Macaca fascicularis: one gene and its partners. The protein of the gene in region 6 interacts with the protein of the main gene of each other region in a pairwise test. Links are inferred from orthologs where the notes say so. Each region holds a gene or a part of one and is shown on either strand. Other genes may lie near its edges.

Region 1 (3,500 bases), on a different chromosome or scaffold from region 6:
GATGCGCCCGTCTTGGCCTCCCAAAGTGCTGGGATTACAGGCTTGAGCCACCGCGCCCGGCCTTTTTTTTTTTTTTTTTTTGAGACGGAGTTTGGCTCTGTCGCCCAGGCTGGAGTGCAGTGGCGCGATCTTGGCTCGCTGCAGCTTCTGCCTGCCTGGTTCAAGCAGTTCTGCCTCAGCCTTCCTAGTAGCTGGGACTACAGGTGCCCGCCACCACGCCTGGCTAACGTTTGTATTTTTAGTAGAGACAGGATTTCGGCATGTTGGCCAGGCTGTCTTGAACTCTTGACCTCAGATGATCCGCCTGCCTCAGCCTCCCACAGTGCTGGGATTACAGGTGTGAGCCACCACGCCTGGCCCCGCCTCAGCCTTTTGAGTAGCTGAGATAACGGGTGTGCACCACCATGCCCGGTCCCTGCTCTAATATTAGAGTTTTGACCCTTCTCTCATACTGCTTGTGAGTGACGCCAATCCTCTTATGATTGTTGGATGGGATTTTTTTTTCTTTCGGGGATTATGTTAGCCGGAACTTTGGGTTGCAAGAAACAGAAACAGCTCAATTTGGCTGAAACAAAATAGGGTACGTTTTGGTATCCTGACTGAAATGTGGAGAGCCAGGGATGCTGCTGCCTCCAGCTCTGCGCCCCCACTCCCGGCTCCTCTCCGAGAGGCGGCATGCGCACTACCCAGCACCTGTGGAGTGAAGCAGGCACCCTGTTCTGGTGGTGTCTGGGGAAGCCCTGGGATGAACTGTAGTTAGCATGCTTTGCATCACTTCTCTACATGAAGTCAGAGTTGTGTCATCCACGGGAAGGGGAAGGAGTGCGTGGCAGGCAAAGCAGCATCCGTAGCATCTCCTCCTGCGTTGTCCCACATTGATACATGCTCAGTGTTGATGCTGGGATGGGCCCTCCCCGACTCCACAAGTTCCCCCACTGCCCACCACTCCACCAGGCGATGTCATCTGTCCCTGCCGTGGTACAGGTCATTTCAGCTGGTTGTCAATAAGACTCAGGGTCCGGCCAGCCTGTGACTGAATGTTACCTTGAATCCTCTCAGCACCCTTCCTAGTCAGGAGGGGAGATAACTGCCGTTAAGAATAGCTGCTTGGAAAGGGGGTGTTGAGCTGATGCTCCTGGTCAGCCCATTCTCCGTGGGCACGGCAGGATGAGTTGCGCTGAGGCTGCGGCCTTATACAACCCCCTGCTGCAGGAGGTGGCCTGCGGTGGCTCAGGACTGATCAGGCTCGGCCATCTTTGGTTTGCCAACATGGGGTTTTAGAACCCAGCAGGTATTGGGCCTCTTGTGCTGGGTCAGCACCCCAGGCCACAAGCAGAAGTCAGCTAGCCAGTGTGGGCCTGACGTCCTGAATGGCTGGGTGCTGTGCGTCCTTCTGGATCCCAGTTTGTGGCCTCCCTGTGGTCTGGCTCTTTGTGATGGGGTCACCCTGTCTTTGTCAGGCCTGGGCTGTTGCTCTCCTTTCCTGGCACTGTGTCAGCTCAGCCCCCACAAAAGGGGCCTGTTGGCAAAGGGGTGTTTTCCTTTTCTGTCTTCAGAAGCCAGCAGTGTCTGAAACTTGCCTCTGTCTGGTGGGACCTCACTAACATCTTCCCGTGTCCTGATCCTTCCACCTTTTAACCAAGTCTCCTCAGGGTCTGGCCTCAGAGAACAGGGTTGTTGGGGTGGTTTATGCAGCTCCTTTACTCTGTGATGCAGCAGGGCTGGGGCTGCCCACACTTGCCTCTGAGCAGCCAGTGCTCGCTCCAGGGCCTGTTCTGTACAACACGTGTACAGATGAACGTAGGGCAGCTCCCGGCATGGAAGGGGAGGTGGACCGACGGGGCAGTAATGGGCACCTCTGCAGGTCAAGGGCAAGGAGAGGGGCTGCCTTGCTTTGTGCAGGGGCCTGACCTGGGCACTGCCTCCTGCCTACTGTGTGCCTATCAGTCCCAGGTGCTGGGGACAGGGTGACAGATGAGGCGGTGCTTATGGGTGAGTGGGAAGACGAGACACAATATTTACTGTCAGGTGGTGAAAAGCACATGCAGCAGGGATGCGCCAGAGGAGACTGGAATTCGGGCCGGGTGTCCTGGGCAGGATGGCACTCTCTGGACTCATCACATCACCCGCCGTGTGCTGGCCCCATTTGGCCAGAGTGCACTGAAGTGTCTGCTTCTTTCTTTAAGGGAGCAAAGCTTGTATTGGCTTGCAATTCAGCAGCTGCCTACAGACCCTATAGAAGAACAGTTTCCTGTCCTAAATGTGACCCGGTACTATAATGCCAACGGGGATGTAGTGGAAGAGGAGGAGAATTCTTGCACCTACTACGAGTGCCACTACCCTCCCTGCACGGTGATTGAGAAGCAGGTGGGTGTGCTGCAGTGCGGCCTGGTCCTTGGCACCTCTACCCTGTAGCCCAGCCTTGGTTTGGGGTCTTGCCCTCCTACCGCAGGGCCCCATTCCCCGGAGACCACTTGGGCTTTTCCACCAGGGTGGTCTCCCTTTGCCCTTGTGCTGGCCTGACCAGGGCCCAGGCCCTCCAGCCTTGGTACATGGTGTTTTGCTGGGTCCGTCAGATTGTCCGTGCGATGCAGTCTTTGCCCCACACTGCATCCCAGGCATGACGGTGAAGCCACAAGTGTTCTGTATTTCAGCTCCGGGAGTTCAACATCTGTGGGCGCTGCCAGGTGGCCCGGTACTGTGGCTCCCAGTGCCAGCAGAAGGACTGGCCAGCCCACAAGAAGCACTGTCGGGAGAGGAAGCGTCCCTTCCAGCATGAGCTTGAGCCAGAGCGATGACGGGCGGGAGAGCCGCACACACTCGCAGCCCCCGGGCTCTACCCTGGGCACAGCAGAGACAGACTGGTGGTTGAACCTGGAGGTGCCGAAAAAGCCAGCTGCGGGCCCAGGACAACCGCTGTGAGACTCCCGATGTCACAGGCAGTCTGTGTGGTTATAGCGCCCCTCAGTGTTCATCTCCAGCAGAGACAACGAAGGAGGCTCCCACCAGGACGGTTCTCATTATTTATATGTTAATATGTTTGTAAACTCATGTACAGTTTTTTTTGGGGGGAGGCAATGGGAAGGGTAGAAATTACAAATAGAATCATTTGCTGTAATCCTCGAATGGCAAACGGTCAGGCCACGTGTCTAAAAACTGTCCTGTAGCTGAAGCTTCTCCCCTGGGCCACGGGAGCCCCATGGAGCGCGGCCTGCACAGGAGTTGTGTCCACAAAGGCAAAGTAAAGGGGTGGAATCATCCGGCGTCTCGGACATTCTCTGCTCTGCCTCCCTCTTGTGCTGCTGAGGGTGAGGTCATCTTGAGTGGAGCCGAATCCCTGTGAGGGCAGGAGGACGTGCCCTTGCTCCTGGTGGGCAGGAGCAGGTGAACTCAAAACTTCCTGAGTCCAGCAGTGAGCGTGAGTGAGACTCTGTCCTTGTCTTGTGGCAGGACTGGTGCAGGTGCTAAGTCAGCTGCCCACTGGTTCATTGGGAGTGGGA
Region 2 (3,500 bases), on a different chromosome or scaffold from region 6:
CTCATAATACAAAGAAAAGTATTCAGGGCTAAAAGCTCTCGTCAATGCGGGGCCCTGACTTTGTGCAAGCCCCCACATCCTGTCATTCAGGAGCAGTTCTGGAAAACTGATTTGGTCCTTTGCTCACTTGGGCTTTTAAAAAATGCTCAAAAAAGCCAGACATGGGGACTCGTGTCTGTAATCTCAGGGCTTTGGGAGGCCGAGGTGGAAGGATTGCTTGGAGCCCAGGAGTTTGAGACCAGCCTGGACAACACAGCAAGACCCCATCTCTACTAAAATGTTTTTTACTTTTTAAATTAGCTGGCCATGGTGGTATGCACCTGTGGTCCCAGCTACTAGGGAGGTTGGGGTGGGAGGATTGTTGGAGTCTAGGAGGTCAAGGTCACAGGGAGCTATGATTGCACCACTGCATTCCAGCCTAGGAGACAGAGAAACACTGTCTCAAAAATGAAAAAAAAAAAAAAAAAAAGCCCAAAATAATTCAAACCATTAATTACTTTATCTTTTTTTCTTGTTTTATTTTATCTGAATGTCCCAAATAGCAGCTATTGCATGACTATTTTCAACTCAAGCTGGAAGGAGGCTCTGTCCCATTTGAGTGTTTTCAAATCCTAGATGGAAACACTTGTAGAAAGTGAGCTCGATAGCCAGGAAAGCTCTCAGCTGCAGGCTGAACCTGCTGGACTCCCAGCAACTTGGGCAGTGAAAGAAACGGGCTGTGGAATAAATGCATGTAATCGATCTAAGAACCTGGAAAAGGGTGGATTGAAGGAGCCTGTGGAAACTAAGACAGCTAACCATACTTCAAGTGACTCATCTTGGCTACAGATGACTTTACCCCAAGCCCAGCAGGTCACCTGGGACAGCCCTGACTTCTCAGATTGTATTAACCATGCTTTTACTTTCTGATGCTTTGATATTTTAGGGTCTTGCGGATCCCAGAGGTATAGTCTCTCCCAGGATTAGCTAATTCCTAGAAGCCTGATTTTCATATGCAAACCAACCAGTCCAGAGCCCACTCCCCAACAGACTCCTATATTGGTCCATCACACTTGGGGCTAACATTTTTTTTTTATTTTGTCTGAGACAGAGTCTTGCTCTTTGGCCAAGCTGGAGTGCAGTGGCCTGATCTCGGCTCACTGCAATCTCCGCCTCCCGGGTTCAAGCAATTCTCCTGCCTCAGCCTCTGGAGTAGCTGGGACTACAGGCGCCCACCACCACGCCCAGCTAATTTTTGTATTTTTAGTAGAGACGGAGTTTTACCATGTTGGCCAGGCTGGTCTCGAACTCCTGACCTCTGGTGATCCACCCGCCTCAGGCTCCCAAAGTGCTGGGATTACAGGTGTGACCCACTGTGCCTGGACCTTCCACCTGTATCGATCACCCCAGCACCAGCCGCCAGACAACAAGGGACAGCCCCTATGCCCCAGAGCACACTGGAATTATCCACTCTAGCCAATCCTAAACCTGTTTATCCTGCCTCATGAAAACCACAATAAAGGCTGTTGTCTGCCATATTTTCCCTCACTCTCTCTGCCTCCTGACCCACCTGGTGCTTCCCCAGGTGCCCCCCACTTTATGGTGCTCTACACTTCTTGGTGTAGAGTGCCCCTTCCTCTCGGGATCAGAGAGTATAACAAATTATCTCATTAAAGAGAGTTGTCTCCTGATCTATCTGTCGGCCTTATCATACCTAAATAATAGTAAGACATTATATATATGTTAGAGACGGGGTCTTGCTATGTTGCCCAGGCTTGAGTGCAGTGATAGTCACAGGTTCAGCCATAGCTCACTACAGCCTCGAACTCCTGGGCTCAAGTGATCCTCCTGCCTCAGCCTCTGGAGTAGCCGGGACCAAAGGCATATACCACTGCACCCAGCATCCATTTTAAAACATGGATGTTGCAATGGGATGTGATTGCTTCAGCACCTAATCCACTCACTCCAGCGGCATCCTCTGTCTTTTCCTGGTAGGAAAAAGTGCAGAATGACCGCTGGAAGGACCTGAAGTCCAGCAGCCTTTCCTAATCGGGGTTCCTCATCCTGACCACAGAATTCAAGAAACAACTAGAGTGGTGAGTTTCTGAATTGTATCAAGGACTCCATAACTAGCCCCACTTTCCATGCATGGAGATCAATTCATTACACACAGCAGAGGTCATGGGGAAGTGGGGCTTATTTTTTCTAGAGAACGCAGTTGGGAAAGGCCGAGTCTAAGGTCTAGGTGTACCTGAGAACCCTTAATCCTGCCTCATAGAAGCAATTCGTCTTGCCAGGAGATGACGATGGCGTTGCGGTGTGGTGTCCCATCCCTGTGCCACCCGGGCCAACATTACCTGGGCTCGGTGCTCCCCGACGGCGAACTGTATCACGGCCACACCCGGGCTATGGCTGTCTTCGATCCTCTCCACGGTGCTAGAGTCGATCTTCAGGTCGTTGCTTATCTCTGCGCTCTGGATGAAATCTTCTGTTTTTAAGTCTTCCACCTTCTTTAGCTCCCCGTTGGCCAACTGGATGATGGAGCCTTTCATGAAGTAGGGAGGCAGAGTAGGGGGAGCCGCCGCCGGGGAGGCCACGGACTGCACCACGGGCAGGTGGATCTGGGCCTGCACCATGGCTGGGTAGGCGGACTGGGTGACCAGGGCCTCGGGGTTGAAGTTCTCGCTCTTGGGAAGGGCGGTGGTGACGAACGTGTGAGGCACTGCAGCAAACTGGGGGGATGACGTGACTATGGCCGGGGCTGCCCCCGACGCTTCCATGTCAGTGCTGCCCACCGGGATGAGCAGGGGCTGTGTGCCGGGTATCACCAGGTGCTGGGGCAGGCTGCCGGCGTAGGTGATTGCTTGCTGCTGGCCGCTCAGGTAGCCGATGACAGGGGGTTGAGTCCCTGCGTAGAAGGCCGTGGCTGGCAGTCCCACCGGGAGTGGCTCTGAAGCACTGTGTGTGGTCTGAATGACCGTGTGGGGTGAGAGCGCATAGGACCGGTGGCCAGGCTTCCCTAAATGCAGGCCGCTTTTGTCGTTGAGGGTGGAGGGGGAGGCCTCGCGATGAGTGGCCTGTTGCACCTCCAGGTCGGCCGCGGGCGTGTTGCTGTTGGGCAGGACCATCACAGAGGCCCGGACCCCTGAAGGATCACGACTGCTGTAGTCTGAGGGGCTCGGGTGAACCACCACGTGCCTGGACTCGTACGGGTGAGGAACCGACTTGCCACCTGCCTTGCCCAAGCCCAGGTCGGCCGAGGACGGGGCCCCGTACCGCCGGCTCTTCTCCATCTCACCGTTCAGGACCTCCTTGGCCTGGATGGCCTGCTGCAGCCGGCTGCTCTCAGCTTTCTTGGTGGCCTCCCGAGGGACAAAGTGGCTGCCGGAGTCGGCGTATTGCATGACGACCTGGGAGGGGGGCCCCAGGGTGAGCGTGTGTGGGATCATCGTCTGATGGGGGTGGAGGTGGACGGGGATGGCCGGAGGAGAGGCGGTGCGGCCGGTGCTCTGCGGAGAACT
Region 3 (4,100 bases), on a different chromosome or scaffold from region 6:
ACAATAAGCTACTGTGAAAAAGGAACAAGACAAATACATGCTTGGAAATTAAAAATTTGATTGTGAAGACATATGAAAGCCCTCTCCCAGAAATGAGAATAAACAAGACACAGAAGGAAGGATAAAGATGCAACTCCAGGGGTCCATCTAGAACGTCCATCACAAACAGGAACTCCTAAGACAGAAGAGCAGAGCTGGAGAGGAAGAACTTCTCAGACAGAACAAGGCAACTCCCCAGAGCTGAAGGACAAGGCACCAGAGTCAAAGAGTCCCCGGAGTAGGAATCCACACACCTCAGCACACGGTAAAATGTCATTAACACCAAAGAGAGGATCCAAGAGCGTTCAGGGAGGGAGAAGGGTCTCCACAGAGGAAGAGCACCTGCCAGAGCGTCCTGTGGAAATGAACAAAGCCGAGATGAAAACATTTCTGAACGCACCCAGCCGCAAGAAGTATCAGGTTGGCTCGTCTGCAGGCTAAAGAATAACCCATCCAGATGAGAAAAAGGTTAGGGGCTGAAGGAGGAAGGGGACCTGACACTATCCTTGAGATCATTTAAAACAATGCAAGGAGTCGATGGGAACAGAAAGTGCCAAGAGAAAAGCCATGACTAACAGAAAAAAAACATGCTGTACAGGAAGGGAAACACTCAATTTGTGAAGAGAACAGTATTTACATAGGCCTGACACACACAGTCCAGGGGATAGAAGAGGTGGGATATGACAGAAGGGCTCCATCACCCCATGGTAACAGAAAGTCAAGACTGTGTAAAACCAAGTAGCAGCTTAGAACTAGGTGCAGTCACTCACACTTGTATTAACGGCTACTAAGGAAGCTGAGGATCACTTGAGCTCAGGAGTTCAAGTACGGCCTGGCCAACATCTGGGGATCCTATCTCAAGAAAAAAATGAAAAAGATCAGCTTACTTAGAGCTATAAAGAATGACCTAAAGAAACCACTCAAGATGTAAACCTCTTTGAAGAATGGGGCTGAGAGGTGGGGCAGGGGACCACTGCTTTTCATTGTAAGTCTTTCACTGATGTTCCTATTGTACACATTATATTAATTAAAATACTAAATATATAGGCTTCAAATAGACTGAATTTGAACCCTGGCTCTGTACATCTGAGCAAGTCCCTTAAGTGTCTGCGGGCCTGGCCACCTCATCTATAAAGTGGGGGCAGCCTCTGCCTCCCGGGTCATGGTGAAGCACCCGAGATGTTGAGCTGCCCCCAAGCAGCGTGGATCACAAATGGATGCTCTTTTTTAAAAAGATTAAAGCCCCAGCCTGGGCAACAAGCGAAACCCCCTCTAAAATACAAAAATACAAAAATTAGCCAGGGGTGGTGGTGCCTGTGGTCCCAGCTACTCGGGAGGCTGCGGTGGGAGGATCACTTGAGCCAGGGAGGCCGAGGCTGCAGTGAGCCAAGATCACCACACTGCATTCCAGCCCCGGGGACAGAGTGAAACCCTATCTCCAAAAAATAAAAATACTAAAGCCAATGATGACAGAATCCAACATCGCAAGAATATATTCTTATTTTAATTGCCAGACACGGGAAGTGGACCTACACACAGAATTTTACCGCGTTTTGGTGTTTTCTTCTAGCACAGGATATTTGCGAGCTGCGTGTTAAATGACCAGATCCAGTTTTTCTTTGCTGTTTCCTGAGCTTACTCAGAACCACTCACTACTCCAAGTTATTTTTCTGTCCCCCAAGAACTTCCAGCTAAAAGTGGCCCCTACGACTGCCTCCTCTTATTATTTACTATAGTTCTGCCATCGCCATCAGGCCCTGGAGTACGTTCCTGGGCAGAACAGGCAACTCCAAACAGGGCAATTATCTGTTCCACATCAACAACTGCGTGACCCGCGCCCTCCCCGGTCAGGGTGCAAGCTCGCTACCCTTCAAAGCCCACACTCGCTCCACTTGCTCACAGTTCTTCAGGGATGATGTATTTCTCCAATAGCAAGGCAACCCCTACCATCTCATCAGTGAAAAACATCAGTCCTCTATCAAGGTACTCTCTCCAATTTGCTCACACAGTGTGGATGGAATGTCATCTACTTCCTGCATCCTAGGGGGAAAAAAAAAAAACGGCCACCTTTCTTAAGGACTAGATCACAGAAATCGCACAAACGTGCTGGGGAGGGGGCACCCCGAAGTCCTCGTTCATCGGGGCACCTAGGGGGACGGGCTGGGGTCCTCGCCGGGGTCGGCGGTCGCCCCGGGATCGTCCCTTCCGCTGCCTCGCCAGAGACTTGCATGTGCGAGTCCCGGGCTATGGGGCTCCAGTCCACAGCCACGGAGGAGGCACAAAAACGGTGCCTGTCGCTCCCGGCTGGCTAGCAGGAGCGACCCCTTGGGAGACTCGGTCCCCAGAGGAGCCCGGGCGCGGTTCTAGGCCCTTCCAGTCTCCCCGCCGTGGCCCCGGGTCCTTCCCGCGGGGCTAGGCCCGGGGCAGAGGTCGGGAGCGCGAGGCCCCCGGGCCGGGCTGCGGCAGCCGCGGCTCAACGGACGCCGGGGCGCGGCGGGGCCGGGGGTGCGGAAGCGAGGAAGCGGGAGCCCCTCTTCCGGGGCGCGGCCGGGGACGGGGAGCGGGGCCTGGGGGGCGCTCGCCCGGCCCGGGCGGTTGGAGGCGGCGGGGCTGCGGCGCGGGCGGCCCGGCGGGCGGGAGGAGGAGGGAGGAGGGAGATCTCGCTCTCGCTCTCGCCCCGCGGGAAGGGGGAGGCGGAGGCGCGACCGGCTGCGGGAGCTGCAATTACCGTGTGGGCTGCGGAATTCTCGTGGTGTTTGTCGGGGAGATGCGATAATGGCGTCCGTCCTCGCGAGAGAAGCCGCCGCTCTGCGCAGGCGCCGCGAGCCCCTCCCCGCGACGCTCTGCCCCCGCCCTCTGCGCAGGCTCACCGGGCGCGCGGGGCCGGGGGCGGGGCTGGGGCGAGGCCCCTTGCGGGCAGGGAGGCCAGCTGCGCGCGCTTTTCCCGCTCGGCCTCCTGGTGAGCATGCGCAGGCGGCCTTCTTCCGCGATGGTACCGGCTTCCCAGGGTTTTTTCCCCCCGTTTTTCGCCCACGCACGTGGCCTGCCTGAGAAAAATCACCTCAGTGGACGGTGTGAGGAATTTGCATCTTCTTTGAGACGGAATGAATAGGCATTAGCTCCCTCAACGACTACACCTCCCAGGGTGCCCTGCGCAAGCGGGGAGCCATGCATTCGGGGACTCGTAGTCCCTTCGTCTGGGCCATGCCTGCCGGGACTTGTAGTCTCTCCGGACTCCGGTCGTCCGTCTTGTCCCCGCACCAAGGGTTGCTGGGACTTGTAGTTACAATGTCTCAGGTGGGCTGTGCGCCCCCAGCGGGTCCTGCCTGCTGCTGCGGCGGATCCTGCCCTGAGGTTCCGGAGCGCTTGGTGGCGTTTTCCCAGACATAAGTGGTCAGGGGTCCCCAGCGTCTGTCCGGAGGGGCCTGAGTGCACGCGCGCGGGAGTTAGCACGCACAGCAGTGACCATGGTCTTAGATATGTCCTACAGCTAACACATAGTATAAATAAGTGATGGCGGCCGGGCACAGTGGCTCACGCCAGTAATCCCAGCCCTCTGGGAGGCCGAGGTGGGCGGATCACCTGAGGTGGAGGTTCGAGACCAGCGTGGCCAACATGGCGAAACCCCCCTCTCTACTGAAAGTACAAAAATTATGCCTGGCCTGGTGGCGCGCACCTTGTAATCCCAACTACTCGGGAGGCTGAGGCAGGAGAATCGCTTGAGCCCGGGAGTCGGAGGTTGCCATGAGCCGAGATCGCGCCCCTGCACTCCAGTCTGGCGACGGAGCGAGACTCTGTCTCTAAAAAAATTAAAAAGTGATGGCGTGAATGTGCGCACGTTATCGTTTATGTAGAATAAATGTGCATTTGTGGGTAATCATAGGAAAAAAATCCCAAACTATAGGGCAATTCCCAGAAATGTCATTTCTGGTTATCTCCCTCTGCTTATCTAGAATTACCTTGTCTTTCATTTTCCTCTTTATACTCCTGTTTTCTGAATTATTTGCAATGAGCAAGAATGCCTTTGATCTCCCAAGCACAGGGCAAGGGAGCTATTTTCA
Region 4 (4,102 bases), on a different chromosome or scaffold from region 6:
TAGCGAGCCCCGTCCACCGGAACCACGTCCAGAAGAAACAAGTAACGGGCCTCGGGGTCCAGGCCAGTGACTGACACTCGGCAGGCAGGGAACATGCGCCTGTGCAAGGGAGGGGACAGGAGAGGCCTGGTGCTACCCACTGGCCAGGGGTGGGCCCAGCACCAGTAACGGGACATAGCAGCAGGCTCCCCAGAGCTGTCAGAGAAACATCAAGGGAGGTGGAATTAGAACCCAGAGGGCAGGCCGGAGGCTGTGGCTCACACCTCTAATCCCAATACTTCGGGAGGCCAAGGTGGGAGGATCTCTTGAGTCCAGGAATTCAAGACCAGCTTGGGCAACACAGAAAGACCCCATCTCTACAAAAAATTAAAAAGTTAGCCAGGCATGGTGGCGCACACTGATAGTCCCAGTTACTATAGAGGCTGAGGCAGGAGGGTCACTTGAGCCTGGGAGGTCAAGACTACAGTGAGCCACAATTGCACCACTGCACTCCAGCCTGGGCAACAGGGCAAGACCCTGTCTCTGAAAAAGGAAAAAGGGCCAGGTGCAGTGGTTCACGCCTGTAATCCCAGCACTTTAGGAAGCTGAGGCGAGATCATGAGGTCAGAAATTTGAGACCCAGCCTGGCTAATATGGTGAAACACTGTCTCTACTAAAAATAAAAAAATTAGCCAGGTGTGGTGGTTTGTGCCTGTAGTCCCAGCTACTCGGGAGGCTGAGGCAGGAGAATCGCTTGAATCCAGGAAGCAGAGGTTGTGGTGAGCTGACGAGATAGCGCCACTGCACTCCAGCCTGGGCAACAGAGCGAGACTCCATCTCAAAAAATAAAAAAAAGAACCCAGAGGGCAGAATCTTAGATCTGGAAGGTTTTCTTGTCTCATTTTACATTTGGGGAAACAGGACAGACAGGTTAAGCGATCTGTCACACAGCAGGTTAGGAACAGAGCCATGACTCCTACCCCTCAAAGCGTATTTGCAGAAGCAGGGGTGACTAACTTTCTTGCTAGGAGCTTCCTGTCCCCACCCTCCTCTCCTCCCCTGATGTCCAGCACCAGAATCTGCAGCTTTTAGATGAATTTGCTTTAGAAAAAATATACCCTGCCTGCAGTAGGGCTGAGGACTTTCCACGCTAGGGCTTGAGCTCCTGCCCTAAAGACCTCGTCACAGGCCACACACTGACCATGTCCCTGCCTCTAGGGTGACCCTGGACCTAGATATACTGAGTCCTATTCAAGCTGCATACTGATCCCCAGTCCTGGTCAGATTTCCCTGATGCTGGTCACTGGGCTGGCCCTTGACCCCCTGTCCTTGTCTGGACACTGGTCTAGGCCACACACTAACCTATAACCCAGCAGGACTTCCTGACCCTGCCCCAGACTGACCCATGACCCTTGCCATAGATTGGTCCCTAAACTCAGCCACAGACTCCACAGACTAGCCCTTAGCCCTTGTCACAGAATGACTCCTGATTCCAGCCACAGAGTAACCCCTGTCCCAGGCCATAGTCAGATTCTAAGCCTAGGCAGAACTCTAGCCCCTAGGGAACCTCCCAGACCTAGCCCCTCCTCAGGGACTCTGCTTTTCCCAGGAGACCCCCACCAGAAACACGGACCCTGACCAGCCCCTCACCTCCCAGCTTTGGTGATGATCATTTCTGTTCCCACAGAGCTGAACTCCTTCCATAGCTCCCGGTTCTCCAGGCTCAGGCTGACCCCAGGGAGGGAATGGAGGGCCTCTGGAGCTGATGGGGCCGGTTCAGTGCCCATGGCAGGGGGCAGAAGGGGCAGAGGTGGGTGTGCGGCCAGGGTGCGGGGAGCAGCCTCCATCCCGGAGAGGAAGCAATCCAGTTTGGGGGTGTCCAGGTCTGGAAGCCGGGGAAAAATGAGGAGCCAGCCAAGGGCCCCAGCCTCCCTATTCTCCTACCCAGGAGCTGGTCCCAACGCTCACCGGGGTAGCGGTAGCCCTCTGCTAGGCCGGGTGGGAAGCTGGAGTCGGCCCCAGGTTGGGCGGGCCCCAGGCGGTAGCCGGCCCCCAGGGACGGGTACAATTCTCGTGGATGGTACATGTTGTAGTTCCGTCTGGTCTCAGGTCTCGCTGCCTAGAGCCCCCGGTGCTGCGAGATGCCCCCTTTATAGCTCACAGCTCAGCCCCTTCCAGACCCAGGATCACAGCCCCTCCCCTCTTTGGGGCCCTGGATTTGGGCTGGGGTGGAGACCCCTGGGGCCTCGAAGGGGTCCGAGCAGGGGCCGGATACCTGGGTACGGTCCCCTCCTTCCCTCCCTCCCCACCCCGGGCGGCTTCATTAGCCTCGACCCCCTGCCCCCTCATTACATAATTAACTCCTCGGCTTGATTGATCCCCGGGGCTCGGACAGGGACGCAGTTTGGCGCTTCCGGCCAGCTGGTCCCCGTTCCCACGGGGGGGAGCCCCAGCTAGGGATAAGCTGGGGGGCGGGGCATGGAGCCTGGACGGAGCCTGGAGTCCCGGGACACACCTTGGCGCCCCCGACCTTCTGGCAGGTGACCGCCCTCCGCCCCCCTTCACTTGGAGGCCGGGCCCTGGAGGGAAGCAGCATGACCAGAGGGAAAGTGCAGGCTGGAGGGATGCGGCCTGAGCTGATTTCACAGGGCACTCGGGGTCGCGAGGAGGCCGCAGCCCAGTCCCGAGCACCGTAGTCCTCCCTGGTCCCCATGCTTTAAAAAAAACCTCCACGCTGAGCCAAGCCTCCAAGGTTCGGAGGCGCGCACAGTCCGACAGCTTCTGACGCCTCGCGGCAGGGTTTCCCAGAAGGTCCCACGCTGGGGAACCCTCGGAACTACACTTCCCGGCAGGCCCAGCGTTGAGGCGCGCCCGAAAGAGCCGGATGGACCACGCGGGGGCCGCTGGAAGTTGTAGTCCGGCCGCGAGGGGGCTGCGAGGCCGGCGACGCGGTTGCCTCCCTGGGGCGCTGTCCCTAGGCGGCGGCCAAATGCTGCAGCCGAGCACACGCAGATCAGGCGAGGTCACAGCGTAGGCAGCCAGAGTGGGCTCCGGGCCTCCGCCGGCAGTGAAACCGCCCCGGTTCCTGGAGACCCAGCTTGAACGACTTGCCTACCCCATGCCCCGCCGGGTCTCAGAACCGCACAGGTCTATAGGGGCAGAAATCTCCGCTTGAGCTTCCCCTCCCCGGATTACACGCGAGCCTGAGCTGTCTCCACTCCATTGTTTTATTATGTACAAACGCTACAGAACGAGGGGGACAGACACGCGTGGGGTCAGAGGGGCTTGGTGGGAGGAGTTCACAGAGCAGACGGTGCACTGGGGCCAGGAGAGCAGAACACAGGCCATATCTATAGGGTAAGCGGGGAAGGAGGGGGTTAAAAACGAGATCCAAGCCAGCCAGATCGCAGGAGGTGCGGGGGCGTCGTCCCCCTTCTGTTCTCCCCCCAAGGTCACAGTGCATGCAATAAAATATATGTACAGGAGCTGGATCCGTCCTCTGCAGGGGCCCTGAGGGTCCAGAGCTCCCTTTGGGCGGAGGGAAGCCGGTGGCGCTCCCTGGCGGCCAGGCCGGGCTGGAGCCACATGCGTCGGGGAGCGGGGGTCAGTCCCAGCCGTTGTCTTTGATCATGTGGTTGAGTTCAATGATGTACTTCCCCTCTTTGTACTTCTGGCTGCTCTCAAAGGCCTGTTCCTGAAAGGAGGGGCGGGACCATCATCCCCGGAGCAAGTCTCACCACAAGGCACAGGGGTTGGGGAGTGGACATGAGTGGCCCCATTTTACATATGAGGAAACTGTGGCGGAGGGGCAGGGCCGCGTTTCTCACAAACACAGAGTAGAACTCCCTGACTCAAAGGTACTTTTCAAGTATTAATGATGGCTCCAACAGAGAAGATAGGGAAGTGGCTAAAAGATTTCACAGTTCAGGTTTGCAAACTGGTGGCTTCATGGCCATTTTGGCCTACAACATGTATTATATGTGGCAAACGACATATATAAACTCTCTCTTGGACAGCAGACAGTTTAATAAAAATAACTTTAAAGTATTAAAATATAATTAGGCCGTGCTCACTCCAGTTTGCCCAGCCTGCCCCCAACTCCCAACCCCTCCAGTCTATGCTA
Region 5 (3,500 bases), on a different chromosome or scaffold from region 6:
CTGCATTAATGGTTGTCAAGGTTGCATTAAGACTGCCAAAAATTTCAGGAGGCTGGAGACAGAAGTGCTAGCACTTTGGGTTCTGACTATGCATTCTGATTCTGGTTACAGTGTATGGGCTTATACTCACCCCTCCATCATTCAGAGCCCGCACCCGGAAGCGATACACGGTTCCAGGAAGCAGGTTACCGACAGTGCACTCCAGCTCTGGGCCGTGGTACACCTCCGAGGCTACGTCTTCGGGCTCCGTCATCTCCACGCTGTACTCTGAGACCTCACAGCCACTTTCAGATGCAGGAACATCTGGGAATGAAAAATTATTTTCATCTTAGAACACTTTGTACTTCCAGTTGACCAAACTGCACCAGATTTCACACAAGTTGTGCAAAATATCACATAGGTGGCCTGTCCTCAGTATCTCCCTTACAAAAGAATCCCTGCCCACCAAATCTTAGAACACTTTGTACTTCCAGTTGACCAAACTGCACCAGATTTCACACAAGTTGTGCAAAATATCACATAGGTGGCCTGTCCTCAGTATCTCCCTTACAAAAGAATCCCTGCCCACCAAAAAGAGATATAAAAATAAAAGTTTCTGAATGATGTTATCCATACTCTCCAAAGCAAGTCCATTGAAGTTTATTTAATTACATTGATAAAATAATCCCCAAATCATAGGAACATTAGATATATTTCTTCATATTTTAATGCTAGGTAAATGGAAGAAAAAGAAGGAAGAAAAATCTCTTTAATTTGAAACCAAAGGTCATATTAAATCAAAATACAGGACCCCAGGTTGGCACAATTTATTATACTTTAGACATAAGTGGTGGGAAAAAATAGTCTGCTAGAGAGTTCTGTACATTTGTATTTATAATTATACATGTTGTAAACAGCTTGGCACAACAAAAACGCTAATACAGTTTAAGTCAACGCTGTAAAAACATCAGGACCCACACAGGACAATGCAGCAGAGGTGGTTACACACAGAGACGAGGAAGAATTCCATGTGATCTTATAAACTATTCTTTGGTTTAATTTCTAAATTGAGTACAAAATTTTTTTCCCATTAATAAAGTTGAAAACTTTCTGAAAAAGACTGGCTGTTCTTGAAATACTCCCTAGAAAAGTGTCCCCTGAAGTGTGGGGGATAAACCAGGTGTGTGGCACCATCAGGAAGAGGAGGATGAGGGACAGTGTTGGGGGTGTGGATGGGGGGAATGACACACATAAAAAACCTGGGTCAACATACTTCAAGAGGAATATGGACATCTTCAACAGACAAAAACATACGTGGTCTTTAGAAGAAAGCTTTGAAACTTAACTACAAAGCGTAAGTCTTCATCTCCGATTGTCCAAACTACCAATGTCAACGGGAAGGTTTGTTCACTCACCCCACTCTAAGTGGACTTCTTTGTGCTTTGGTCTACCCAAAACCCTCGGTGGTCGACACTGACCTGGTGCAATGCTTAGTGTGCGAACAGGGAGACTTTCAGAACACTGCAGGAGAAACACCAGAGAGAACCATCTCTTAGTTACTGTGAATTTATCAGACCTCTACATATCAGGCAAATTCCACCCCATAACTGCAAATGTTACCGAAAAGGGGTTACACACTAAATGTGTGCACATTATGGGAAGCTTTTAATGCAATTAAGATCTTCATATAAATGTATGTGTGTGTGTTTTAAGGGTGGTTATAGACTTCATATGGCACTGGGAAAAACAAAAATGATTATTTTTGAAGTTAGATTAGCAGACATGAGTACTATATATCCTAAGCAATTCTTTTCCTTTAATTCAAAATTAGAAAGACCCTTCATGAGGACAGAAGAGAACACAAAACGACATCTGGATGAAATTTTAAAATGGTACCATAAGTGGCCAACCATTCACATACAGAGCAGAAAAGCAAATAAACTCAATATTAATCAATTGATTCTGACATTAACCAGCAGGCACTGTTAACGCTAAAATAAGTAGGCCTTTATTTTGCAGGATCTGGTTGTGTAAGGCTAGTGATATGGAAGCTGACCCGATTCCTGAGACAGGAGAAAATCAGGTAGAGCTATATAGCTCAGCCACATTCAATTTTCTCCCTGAGAAGTGGCACAGAGGAAATGACCTCTATGCATTTGAGCAGTTCAGACTCAGTGACACCTTGTGTAGTGCTTCACACATAGGAAGTACCACTGATAATCTCAGCTTTGATTTGGATTTACTCCACCCTGGGAGGCACTCCAGAAAGCTTCGGCACTGTATAAAGATGGTCCAGCGGGACCTTCTCCTCACAGGGAGTGTCTACATGGGCAGTCTAGATGTCCTAGTACCATCCTTGGGGGCAAAAGAAAGTAAACACAAAAACTGATGTTGCAAGTGGGTTGACTAGAAAAATCAGGCATTCAAACGGCAGGTATTCTCTTGAAAAGTCAACCCAGCACAGGGCTGTAAGCCACCATCTCTCCTTCTCTTTCATTCTAAATTATTAGTGGTTTCAAATCATAATGTTAAATATCTCTACAGTGAAAGTATCTTTTGGCATCTCATTTCTCACTCAGTTTTCTGAGTGTAAGTTAAAACCATTTAGATAACAATTATTTCATTTCTAGAGTACTCCATGTATATTTATTAGGTTGTTTTGAGCCTATGAGAGTACAATGTGGTTGAAACTAAGACTCCTGACATGTTAACTGGTTAGTCTGAGGTCATATAAATAGTAGAAACAAAAGAATGGATCTTGCCTACAGATGTGTACGTTGGGTACCACAAAACTTGAGGAGGTGCCATTCAGCTCAGTCATCATGGATTTACATTGTTTTTACAACAACTTTCCAGCAGATGGCAGTAAAGTACCCTGAGGAAGGTATGTCTCAAATTCTTAAAATTGATAGACGTGATTAACAGCAGTGCTGCACAGGTCTCATCTTTTAACTAGAAATTCTATAGTTTTTTAATCATTGCAATAACCGAGGTCTCCTTTATTTAGTCAATGCAAATTCCAGATAATTTTCAACCGTCACAGGTGATTACGTCAAAGACTTCTGAGAAATAAGTGAGTGACAAATGTACCTGAAAATACCACAATTCAGTAGGGAATCATTTAGGCCTATCTTATACCTTTAAAGAGCAATTCAAAAAGCTCTATTTTTCATTTCCTGACTTGATACTATCAGGTTGCATTACCAAGATACATTGTTTAAACTGCAATTTGATTCTGATGTTACAGACAGCTGGTCTGAATTTGATCAAAGAGGTTTACTTTCATATGGAAACAAAACCAACCTGGCTGTGTCCACCGGTACTGATGCAGCACGCTCGGAGTTTGTACAAAGTGCCTGGTTTCAAGTGGGTGAAGGTGTATTCAGTAGCCGACCCGCTGTAGGCCACTTCCCACTGATTCGCTGTAAAACAAGACTTATGCATGACTTTATGCCTCTTGTAAAAAATGGAGTATATCAGCCATTGCTGACAAGAAAAAGCTCTATGTTTTCAGGAAAGCC
Region 6 (3,363 bases):
AAAACAAAACAAAAAAAACCCCACAGAAAACAGGAATGCATAGGATAAAACTATGTACATGGTTGGTTGAGGAGGAGGTTCTCTAGGAGAGCGTTTCCTGTTTTACAGACAGTAAAAATTTGAGTTTTATTTAAGGTTATCACCACTTGGACTATCGTGCTGTAAACTTCTGCTTATGCTGTTACAACTAGGTGGCTTTTCTGTTTTTCATTAGATTATGTCCAAGAAATAATGATAGATCTATGATCTTTTGAAGATATTGCATCAAACACAAGTGAATACAACTTTAGACTTTGGTAAAACCTCTTACTAATGATGTAGTTTTGCCTCTTAGATTCATGAATTGTGATAACTCAGATAAGGATGGTAACTGCAGAAATAATATATATATAAAGAGAAATAAACTCCTGGGTGATGTCATTTTCCATGTGGCCCAGTGTGCCTGTGTTGAAAAGTTTTGTTCTCAAAGCAGTGTATTGATGTGATAATGGGGAATAACATTTTTTTTTAAGAGGGAACCTTTAATATAATCTTTTAGCCCTTTTAAAATGGATACAGTGGTGTTTTCTCCTAGGCTCAAAGCTGAGTACACTCCTGTAATTTTAATAATATTTTAGGCAAGTCCTATGACAATTATACCAACAAGTTTCTTCAACCCCACCACCACCCCTACCATACCTATGCTTTGCTTGCCCATACTCCCTTCACCCTTTCCTCTGCTATTACCACTGGTATTTCTGCTTGTGGTTGAAAATAAAAAGCATCTCCAGATTGCAGCAAATTCAGTGGCCCTGCTCCACAGCCTGGCCTCTGCTGAAGGAAGAAAAGGGGTGAAACATGAATGGCCATCATGGGTTGTGATCAGGCACTACCAGAAGCCCAGCTTGTGTTTCAAAAACAGGCTCTTGAACATGTTCCCAGAAGATAACTCTTCACTGGCTTGGAGAACAGGAAGGACTATTTCACAAACACCACTGTGTTTGAATTTCTAGAGGCTACCCAGGCCAAGAATACATCCCTAAGAGAGAAAAAGACACACAAACAGAATTATACACAAACTGAAACAGAATTACAGCCTACTTTTTTTTTTTTTTTTTTTTTTTGAGATGGACCTCCCGGGTTCATGCCATTCTCCTGCCTCAGCCTCCCGAGCAGCTGGGACTACAGGCGCCTGCCACCACGTCCGGCTAATTTTTTGTATTTTTAGTAGAGACGGAGTTTCACCGTGTTAGCCAGGATGGTCTCGATCTCCTGACCTTGTGATCCACCCGCCTCGACCTCTGAAAGTGCTGGGATTACAGGTGTGAGCCACCACGCCCAGTCGCTACATTCTTTTTATCTGTCTTTTTTTTTATTTTTGAGACAGAGTCTCGCTGTTGCCCAGGCTAGAGTGCAGTGGCATTATCTCCTTGGCTCACTGCAACCTCCGTCTCCCAGGGTCAAGAGATTCTCCTGCCTCAGCCTCCTGAGTAGCTGGGACTATAGGCGCCCGCCACCATGCCCAGCTAATTTTTGTATTTGTAGTAGAGATGGGGTTTCACCACATTGGCCCAGCTGGATTTTTTTTATCAGTCTTAAGCAAATAGGTTCCCAGATAATTTCCTGCAGCATATGGTTAGATAGTATCACCTTAGAAATATAAGAACAGTGGGCTTAAAAGTCAGAAGTAGAGGCAATGCTAATTTACTGTAGAGTTTTTGAAATAGGAAATAGAAATGCCTTGTCCTACAGCTATAGGTAATTCCCAGAGAAATTTGGGGAAAGGGGTAAAATCTTCCAAATTTCTCCCCATTTCCCTCACAAATTGCAAATTATCATATGCTACTTTCCACTTACCATTTCTCCCCAAATTCTAATTCCCTAAGTCTGATTTGCACTAAGGATTGAAAAGCTAGTATTTGCAAACACTAACAACCTAATGTATTATCACATTTTTAAAGAGCATAGAGAGGTATGTGGTAACTGAAAAATGTGAACTGCTGATTACGTCATCTTTGGCTATGTGGCAAATGTAAGCTCTTAAGCAGGGGCGCTTTTCTAGTATGCCAGATAGACATACAGCAACCTACTCTACCTAAAGTAAGGTGACACTGAGATGTTGATTTTATGCTCAAGATTACCATGTTTCCCAACAGAATTAATTGACCAGTATCTGAATTATAAAAGGGGGAACTGTAAGCTCACCTGCAATGCTTCACCACACACTCATTGCTGCAGTATTCATTGTCCCAGTCCTTACTCACAATGGGAGGGTTCTCACAACCAGACCTCACACATCGAGGCTGGGGTGAGAGTGCCACAGGAGACCCACTCACCAATTCAACATCCATCTGAGAAGGAGACTCAACCTGTGAGAGGAAGAGAGTACCAAAGTGGATTAAATTGCTCCCTGCCTAGCTAGCTAGTTGAAACCAATGAAGCAAAGGGTATTACAATTCCTCACACTGGGGGTAAAACTGGAGAAGGTGAGTTCTTGGTCTCCCCCTCAACAGTCTAGCTTCAGAACTTTGCCAAGCAGAATGACGGAAGATTTTTCCCATCAGGAGAAAGGTGGGCATGTGGTAATGCTTTTTTTCCCCCTTAAGCCTGGCTAGTCAAGTATAGTACTGGGAATAAAGAGGTAGTCCTTTTTTTGTTTGTTTTTTTTGAGACGGAGTCCTGCTCTGTCTCCCAGGCTGGAGTGCAGTGGCGCAATCTCGGCTCACTGCAAGCTCCGCCTCCCCAGTTCATGCCATTCTCCTGCCTCAGCCTCCTGAGTAGCTGGGATTACAGGCACCTGCCACGACGCCTGGCTAATTTTTTGTATTGTTAGTAGAGATAGGGTTTCACCACGTTGGCCAGGCTGGTCGCGAACTCCTGACCTCAGGTGATCCACCTGCCTTGGCCTCCCAAAGTGCTAGGATTACAGACGTGAGCCACCACGCCCGGCCATATTTATGTGTTTTAAAAAACAATGGTATGAACCAATTAAATTTTTCTGGCTATACCCTCTGCCCCACACACATTTAAAACATCAAGCTAAGGAACTTAAGACCCAGGATAAACGAAAAGCTTTATATGTCCAAAGTTTAAGATCCTTGGGTAAACAACTCTGAAAAATAACTGTTTAGGCTATATCCTGTCCAGCTGAACTAGTGGCCGCTGCTTAGTTAAGGAGTGGTCCTTATCTTAATGTATCTCACTAAAAACACTATGGGGTACGCGGTGGCTCAAAGCCTGTAATCCCTGCACTCTGGGAGGCCGAGGCGGGCGAATCACGAGGTCAGGAGTTCAAGACCAGCCCAACCAACATGGTGAAACTCCGTCTCTAGTTAAAAATACAAAAAATTAGCTGGGTGTAGTGGCGATTACCTGTAATCCCAG

The links.
Region 1: the proteins of TOX4 (region 6) and ZMYND19 interact in binary tests that used the Homo sapiens proteins (3 or more experiments, as listed by UniProt). The two-hybrid records come from large-scale screens. The link is inferred for Macaca fascicularis from reciprocal best matches to the Homo sapiens genes TOX4 and ZMYND19.
Region 2: the proteins of TOX4 (region 6) and ATXN1 interact in binary tests that used the Homo sapiens proteins (3 or more experiments, as listed by UniProt). The link is inferred for Macaca fascicularis from reciprocal best matches to the Homo sapiens genes TOX4 and ATXN1.
Region 3: the proteins of TOX4 (region 6) and BANP interact in binary tests that used the Homo sapiens proteins (3 or more experiments, as listed by UniProt). The two-hybrid records come from large-scale screens. The link is inferred for Macaca fascicularis from reciprocal best matches to the Homo sapiens genes TOX4 and BANP.
Region 4: the proteins of TOX4 (region 6) and TBX6 interact in binary tests that used the Homo sapiens proteins (3 or more experiments, as listed by UniProt). The link is inferred for Macaca fascicularis from reciprocal best matches to the Homo sapiens genes TOX4 and TBX6.
Region 5: the proteins of TOX4 (region 6) and FNDC3B interact in binary tests that used the Homo sapiens proteins (3 or more experiments, as listed by UniProt). The two-hybrid records come from large-scale screens. The link is inferred for Macaca fascicularis from reciprocal best matches to the Homo sapiens genes TOX4 and FNDC3B.

The regions. Positions count from the first base shown.
Region 1 is NC_088389.1:1,732,441-1,735,940, forward strand, and holds the end of ZMYND19 (zinc finger MYND domain-containing protein 19), read left to right. Parts: intron 1-2,186; coding exon 2,187-2,367; intron 2,368-2,654; coding exon 2,655-2,798; 3' UTR 2,799-3,258; downstream 3,259-3,500. UniProt on the Homo sapiens protein: May be involved as a regulatory molecule in GPR24/MCH-R1 signaling.
Region 2 is NC_088378.1:156,585,963-156,589,462, reverse strand, and holds part of ATXN1 (ataxin 1), read right to left. Parts: coding exon 2,337-3,500; intron 1-2,336. UniProt on the Homo sapiens protein: Chromatin-binding factor that repress Notch signaling in the absence of Notch intracellular domain by acting as a CBF1 corepressor. Binds to the HEY promoter and might assist, along with NCOR2, RBPJ-mediated repression. Binds RNA in vitro.
Region 3 is NC_088394.1:83,853,631-83,857,730, reverse strand, and holds the start of BANP (protein BANP), read right to left. Parts: upstream 2,801-4,100; 5' UTR 2,768-2,800; intron 2,409-2,767; exon of another isoform or gene 2,107-2,408; intron 2,080-2,106; 5' UTR 2,008-2,079; coding exon 1,987-2,007; intron 1-1,986. UniProt on the Homo sapiens protein: Controls V(D)J recombination during T-cell development by repressing T-cell receptor (TCR) beta enhancer function. Binds to scaffold/matrix attachment region beta (S/MARbeta), an ATC-rich DNA sequence located upstream of the TCR beta enhancer.
Region 4 is NC_088394.1:28,005,501-28,009,602, reverse strand, and holds the start of TBX6 (T-box transcription factor TBX6), read right to left. Parts: upstream 2,801-4,102; 5' UTR 2,495-2,800; exon of another isoform or gene 2,114-2,494; 5' UTR 2,066-2,113; coding exon 1,948-2,065; intron 1,865-1,947; coding exon 1,630-1,864; intron 196-1,629; coding exon 1-195. UniProt on the Homo sapiens protein: T-box transcription factor that plays an essential role in the determination of the fate of axial stem cells: neural vs mesodermal. Acts in part by down-regulating, a specific enhancer (N1) of SOX2, to inhibit neural development.
Region 5 is NC_088376.1:83,827,175-83,830,674, reverse strand, and holds part of FNDC3B (fibronectin type III domain-containing protein 3B), read right to left. Parts: intron 3,402-3,500; coding exon 3,283-3,401; intron 1,501-3,282; coding exon 1,395-1,500; intron 304-1,394; coding exon 131-303; intron 1-130. UniProt on the Homo sapiens protein: May be a positive regulator of adipogenesis.
Region 6 is NC_088381.1:89,170,369-89,173,731, reverse strand, and holds the end of TOX4 (TOX high mobility group box family member 4), read right to left. Parts: intron 2,349-3,363; coding exon 2,185-2,348; intron 1,019-2,184; coding exon 958-1,018; 3' UTR 501-957; downstream 1-500. UniProt on the Homo sapiens protein: Transcription factor that modulates cell fate reprogramming from the somatic state to the pluripotent and neuronal fate. In liver, controls the expression of hormone-regulated gluconeogenic genes such as G6PC1 and PCK1.